Linked DNA regions of Caenorhabditis elegans. The protein of the gene in region 1 purifies or fractionates together with the protein of each later gene. This does not show direct contact. Each region holds a gene or a part of one and is shown on either strand. Other genes may lie near its edges.

Region 1 (3,948 bases):
TTCTTCGTCTATTCTTCTTCCCCTAGTGACCCACATTTTAGAGCAGCCCTTTTTTGTTGGAAAACCCCAGAAAAAAGGTCAAGTTGTCTAGGAAGAAGGGGTGTAAATGGAGACAGTTTTATTGTGGGCAATGATGCCGCCGTAAAAGACAAAAGAATAAACGGGTGGGATTACGTTGCATAAAAGGCCCGACATGCAACAAAAAAGAAGTGCAAAGAAGTCTTCCCAGAAGATGAAGTAAACATATTAATGGTATTCCTGGCTAATATAGACAATGAGAACGGAAATGTCACTGTACTTTTGACATGGGAAATACTGAAAGACAACATTTGTTAACTGATTGAAGATCTTATCAAAATGTGAAATTGGGGCAACCTTTTTTCAAGACTTTTGAGAGTTTTTAAATTATTAAAAAAAAAGGAAATTATTTTAACTTGCAAAAACAAGGAGCTGGTGCACAAGAAACCTATGTTCTAGGAATTCTTTTTCTTTAATTCTGCCTCTCTATTAAATATACATATTTTTTTTAGATATCATACATTTAAACCTATAGACAATATTCGAATATGGACCTTCTCGGAGTTTAATGGTGATTTCCTGGCGAATTATCAAGTAGGCTGGTGGCAGATAGGTACCACACTCTACCAAAAAATGTCAAACGTCATAGTTTTCCTTTTTTTGGTTGCCATCAGTTAGTTACCAAAATGTTCGAATTGTTAAAAGTATCACTAAATGTGAAAGATATTTATTGCACAGATTGAGCAGAATAATTTAGATAAACAACTGTTTTGAGATCAAAAAAACTATCGTACAATAAATAATGAAAATCAAATTTAATCTAGACGTAAAAAACAATCAAAGATAGTTAATAAGTAAGTATTTATGGCTATTATCAGAGTTTTTGAAATGAAATATACTGAGCACCTACTCAACTGAAATTGTTTCAATTAAACCTTATCAAGTACACATAGGAAACGGTAAAGGAATTGGATCACCCGATTATTTGAGAAAAACAGAAAATATGGTACAACTTAACAGATTAATAAGTTTCTGTATGCGAATAAAAGCTATGATGATCACCAGAAGTGGATGCAGAAGATGATGAGCTTTCTTGATAATAGTGAGATGACATATCATGCTGATTAGAGGACATCATTTGTGGTGGTGGATAGTATGGAGAGGTGTAGCTTGGCGATGGAGTCTGTGCCATCATTGAGCAAACAGATTGGGGATATACGGGAGACTGTTCTGGAGTTGGAAAGTCAGCTGGCATCGAATTATGGAAACTTGTGGAAGACATTCCGAGTTGCTTCTGCAGTTCTTGAATGTAACGGGCGGCTTCACGAAGGGTTTCGACCTGAAATTTTAGAAATAAATTATAATCTTAAATAAATCTATTCATAATTTTCTACTGCAAATATGATTTGGATATTTAATTTTGGTTTTCTAATTGATAAATGAAACCCTAATATACATTTTTCTAAGTTACAGAGCTGAATAATTTTTGTTATAGTCTTTTAAGCACGAAAGGATTAGTGCGAACAATTTGTTTCAAAAAGCATTGCGCTGGAGCTTCTGAATATTTTTAGTAAATAACGAAAAAAAGCTAGGCTGAAATAATTTTACATGAAATAATCAAGTTGGCAGCTTATTCTAAAACATTGCATAATCTTTGATATTAGCCTATATACGAGAACATTTTGCCAATTGGTTTTCTAAATAATATATTTCAATTTTTCACAAAACATAATCAAAACCCTATAATCAAACCGCAAATTTCTCCTTTAGGCAAATCAAATTTACAATTTGCTTCACGTTTTCTCCCAAACACCACAAAACTACTCTCACCTTTGACAACTTTGCCTTGTTTCCAGCAGCTTTTGGTACTCTTTCTTGCAATAGAACAAATCCCTGATTGACTTGATCAACACGTTTTCGTTCACGTTCATTACGCTTTTGCTTCGTCTGCTTCGTTACTGAAGACTTACTTGACGACGGAATTTTGGTGGATGTAGATGGAGTTGAGGAGGTGGATGCGGTCATATTCTGCAAATACAGTTGAAAAATTTAATTTGAAATTTTAAAGGAAAAGGAAATAAGAGTACATTTTAAGTTTAATTTTTATACAAACAGCGTTAAGAGAGACTTTCTAGAACGAAAAAGAATAAAGAAAAGGAGATTAAGAACTATGGAAAAATGCAAGAACATTAAATGATCAACCATAAACTCGAAAAATAAATAAAAAATTCAAAAAAGAGGAATGAAAACGAGAAATGACCCACCACATCACGAAGGGGAAGACACAACACGAATGCGCGGAAAAGTGGGCGGGGTCGGGAAGGGCAACCAAATAAGGGAGGGCTGAGTTGGGGGAGAGACGAAGGGTGGGAATATTGATGTGAACATATATAGTTTGCAATCAATTAATTAATGTTGTATTATGATCTACCAAAAAGTTTCAGTCTACATTTATTGATGTGATTGCAATTCTGTCACCATGTTAATAAAAAATAAAAACAGGAGTGCTAAATACTCTAGATTTTAAATTAAGAAAAAAATCACTAAATCAAGTTTTCATCTACCATGGATGGACTGAACTTTTCAGATTGTCTTTGTTGTACCATGGCGCCAGAACGATCGCTCTGCGAATACTGTAATACTGTAGTAATGTCTTCCATGTTTCTATAACTTTCCTTGGATTTTCCATTGAAACGTGTATAAAGTAAAAAAAAATTCTGGAGACCAACAGCAGCCTTTCAGGAGCTTGAGTTCAGAAATATTTTCAGTATCTAAAATGTGGCCGGTTCTTGTTTTGTGTGCAAATTTTTTAAAATCAGCTGAAATTGAAAATTTCTTCTGATCGTAAAATAAGTAAAATAAGCGATGGCTTCACTGTTAGAGAAACACGGAGAGAACATGTCGTTCTGAAGCATTGCACTTTCTCAAATTCCCATTTCATATGTTTAATGAATTTCCAATACAAATATCATTTAGTGCAATAGTTGATTATCCATAAAACTGCGGCCTAATGAGATTGAATGAGGGGTGCTAACCGTCGATCACATTTTATGGTTTTGTTTCTGCCCTATTTGAATTTTCATGTAAAACGCACTGCGACACTAGAGGAAAAGACCGGAGAGTGCAGGAAAAGCCGCTTTGAATGTCAATTATCCGGCATCCTAATGATACTGTTATTGACTAGTGCTTTTTGCCGGCTCACGCTCACTTGAGCCCTTGAGCTCTTCTTTTTTACTGGCAGCCGACTCAGGAAATGAACAGAGCTTCCAAGAAAAATGAGAACAATGAGAGATTAGTGCTCTTTTTATGGTACCGACTTTCTAAAAACAGTTATGAGACAATACATTTCCTAAGAAGAGTGAAATTGAAACTATCTAAATTTTGAAATTACAGTCAGGATCAAGGGTGTCAATTCCCGTTTCCCGTTTTTCCCGTTGTCCCGTTTTTGGGGTGTTTTCACGGGAACGGGAATTCCCGTTGTCCCGTTTTAAAAATTTTCACGGGAACTGGACATTTTCCCTCATTTTTTGGCTTTTTAAATATCTGTTTAATATTGAAAAAATCGATAAAAATGTTTATAATGCAGTTTTTTTTATAATTTGCCTCGAATACACTAAAATTTACGCCAACTATGCACTCTTTTTTTTTAAACCGCCCAGTTTGTCCCGTTTTTGAGTGTTTTCAAAAAAACGGGAATTCCCGTTGTCCCGTTTTTGAAATTTTCACGGGAACGGGAATTCCCGTTTTCCCGTTTTTAAAATTTTCACGGGAACGGGAATTCCCGTTGTCCCGTTTTCGAAATTTTTACGGGACATTGACACCCTTGGTCAGGATATAACCTAGTTGAAACCACCTTAAAAGAGTTTTGTTACATTGAATGGATACTGAAAGCAATAGGATACACATGATCTTTTTAAGACCGAATCTTAA
Region 2 (3,416 bases), on another chromosome or scaffold:
TTTTATCCTCGATCGATGCTTTCAGCTTTCCCATCGTACAGAACGCAATATCGCATTGATCTATAAAGAATTCGTTTTTTTTTGGTTAGACGAATGCTGTAACGAACCTTTTGTGAACTGATAGCTAGCAACTAGTTTTTCAATTTTAATATCTCGAATAGGTATAATATCTTCCATATCTATCAAACCAAGAAGAACTTCACAACGATTAAAAAGTTGTTCAACGAGTGAGTTGGTATTTGCAAGAATAAGAATAGTTGGTGATGGCGTGGTTGAAATATTGGTAAGCAATGGTCGCTCCCTCAATGCAATTTCAATCGCCGGAATAAGAAACGCATAAGTCTTCCCGATTCCAGTTGGAGCATCCACTAGAAGTCCTCGGCGGTCACGAATAGCTTGAATTGATTTTTGTTGAACTGCATTCAGAATATGAACTTTTATTCGTTGCAAATTGGCGGCAAGTCGGTGATCTTCTATTGCATGTGCAACCATCCTCTCTGTTCCATAATCAGCTGGAGTTTCTACTCCGTCTTGATCCACCATTATCGTGTTCTCCTCACAGTGTTTATTCAATTTGTCAGTTTCAGCTTTTGAAGATGTGACTGCGCCCAACTGCTGATGACGATCTCTCATTGCTGAAGAAAAGTTATTGAAATATTTAATTGCCCAGAACATGGTTTACCAAAATAATAATCTCTAGTTTTAATAGATCTGAAGTTGAGTACATTTGCATACTTTGGAGGAACTAAATCAATGTGCTCAACTTGTACCCGACTATCGTCTAATGCATCGGCAGTGTTCCAAGGATGAGGCATCTACAAAGATTATTACAAAAATGTTTATATTTTGGTTTGAAAATAAATATTTGAACGAAAAGTAACGGTTTTTACGACACAATATTATAAAAGTAGAAATATAAAAAACGTTTGTTTACCCAAAAAAAAATACATGTAACAATTAAGCCAGAATGAAGATGATAACAAATTAGAAAATCATAGAATCAGAATTTAATATTCTTATGTGCTCGGTGTCTCTTTCGACAGGATCGCATAATCCAGACCAGAATCATCGGATGGGCACGTCACGTCGCTGTTGTATCCATGTTTGTGAAAGAAGCCGAGCGACGGTCCATTATACAGAAAAACTGTTGCCATGACTTTACTCATGTTTGTCCTGAAAATAAGAGTTTTTGTTTATTGGCTCTCGAATTAATTGAAACTGTACTTTGAAGAGAGCTTTTCCAGCGTGTCGAGCATCATGCCACCGATTCCTTTGTTCTGATAAGCCGGTACAATTTGAAGTTCCCAACAATATGCCACAGGAATGTTGTGATCGACCACAAATCGATAAGTGGTATAGCCAATTTTATCCCCTTTCGAATTCTTCGCGATGATGAACCTTGATGTTGTTGCACGAAGTTCGTTTCGCTTGGAATTTTCATCGTATCCCCACTGGGATTTGTGATACATATCGTACATGTTCTCTTTGAATAAACTGAACACCCACTCGAAGTCTTCATCACTCAAATGTGTCGCCCACATGTAATCGAATTTGATAGTTTCGCTGAAAATAATAAAGATTAATTTGAAAATCATTCAAAGATCCTACCCATCAGTTGTAGTACTTCTTTGTGTCTCGCATTCGAATTTCTCAACTGGTTTTATGTGCTGACAAGCTTTTTTGACCAATTTTTTCGAGTCTACGGGCATTTTTGGGCCGATATCTGAAAAATTGTTTTACAATTATTGAGAAATAAAACATGATCGATTATACTGGTGACAAATTGATCAATAAAACCGTAAAGAATACTGAAAAGAAAGGATAGAATCATTTGAAAAAAATGCATATAACTTGAATGTCGTATATTGTGGTGAAAAGTGTGCAAACACCATCACGTCAAGTCACGGATTTGCTTTAAATTAACATTTATATGTAAAAATTAGTCTTTATTGATAAAAATATCGTTAAAATGTACAATTTTGTTGATAATCGGAAACAAATTTACATTTCGTATGTTTTAAGTTGTAATATGTCTCCTAGCTAATATTTTCAGGGTCATTCTTCGCTGTATCATCTGAAATTGAATGCTAGTTAGATATTTTCAATTTTTATTATTAGAAATAAAACAGCTATCCAGCATAAAAAACGATGTTTAATAGAAATATACAAAAAGTGTTACGACAGCACGTTCTTAACCATGCGAAAAGTTCAGAAGTCTGAGACCCGAAGAACTCGGGGGATGTCCAATTGGGGGGATTACCAACTCGGGGGATTGGCCCCGCCCACAGAACCGTGGCTTGCAATACGCCCATTTCTGCAACTGCCGCACGGTTTTAAAACTGTATTTTTCTCAATAGAGCGAGAAATAACAAGAAAAAATAATTTTAAAACCGTGCGGCAGTTATGAAAAACCGTGCGGCAGAAATGGGCGTATTGCAAGCCACGGTTCTGTGGGCGGGGCCAATCCCCCGAGTTGGTAATCCCCCCAATTGGACATCCCCCGAGTTCTTCGGGTCTCAAAAAATGGACGAAAATTAAAATTGCTGTCATACTTCAAACTGAAATTCGTTTCGAGAGTCAAGCCCGTAAATCGCCACAAGTTCTACAGTAGCCATTTAAATAATTATTGTAGTTTTCGCTACAAGACATTTTGCGCGTCAAATAGGTTGCGCAATACGTATTCTCAGAATTTAGTGTTCTCGCAATAAGGCGAAGTTAGGAGGCTTCAAAGATTTGGAAAAAGGGAATGTTCCGCCAGAATCTAACACTTTACCAACTTTACAGTCTCGCAGCGACCTGAACTCCACTTTCATAAATATAAATAATTACCCTCTATATTTGGTAGTTTATTTGTTGATTTAGGTTTAATTTCGTTCGATGGATGCATAAATGTAACAAATTTGTGCAATCATGAACTGAAAAAAGCATCGAAACCTACGCGGAAAAACCAGGCCATATTAACAAACGATCAACTGTGCACGTAGTGTCAGAATGTCCCATCTCGGTTTGATCTTCGAAAATTGCGGGAATTTAGACGCAGTCTTCTAAATTGATTTCGCATAGTGAAGAGTGTGCTAACGTCAACAGAGGATCTCCTGCTTATAAATGGTAGTTTTTTTGAATAATAAAATACGCACTAAAAGGTGGGGCTGAAAATGTACTATTTCTGTAACTACGTGAAGCTTCTTGTACCTACTGAAATATTGTTAATATATTCTAAAAGAGCTTAAAATTTACTACAAAGTTTCTGAAAGTCATTTCAAAAAAAATTACTTTGAAGAGATTTATGAATTTTCAAAGTTTGGAAAATCCATCTATTTTTGCCTATTAATGGTAGTTTTCATTAACTAATAAAATACGCACTAAAAGGTAGGGCTGAAAATGTACTATTTCTGTAACTACGTGAAGCTTCTTGT

Evidence for each region.
Region 2: the proteins of hlh-3 (region 1) and Y38A10A.7 fractionate together in Caenorhabditis elegans (co-fractionation; one large-scale study listed by BioGRID). This does not show direct contact.

Annotation. Positions count from the first base shown.
Region 1 is NC_003280.10:9,084,706-9,088,653, reverse strand, and holds hlh-3 (Helix-loop-helix protein 3), read right to left. Parts: upstream 2,047-3,948; 5' UTR 2,044-2,046; coding exon 1,849-2,043; intron 1,358-1,848; coding exon 1,040-1,357; 3' UTR 746-1,039; downstream 1-745. UniProt on the Caenorhabditis elegans protein: Probable transcriptional regulator. May mediate transcriptional activation by binding to the E-box motif 5'-CANNTG-3'. Plays a role in the differentiation of the hermaphrodite-specific motor neurons (HSN) that are required for normal egg laying.
Region 2 is NC_003283.11:6,094,504-6,097,919, reverse strand, and holds Y38A10A.7 (N-alpha-acetyltransferase 40), read right to left. Parts: upstream 1,724-3,416; 5' UTR 1,710-1,723; coding exon 1,609-1,709; intron 1,564-1,608; coding exon 1,225-1,563; intron 1,174-1,224; coding exon 1,017-1,173; 3' UTR 827-1,016; downstream 1-826. Other genes in the region: smut-1 (Synthetic MUTator), read right to left, coding at 1-60, 108-635, 683-815.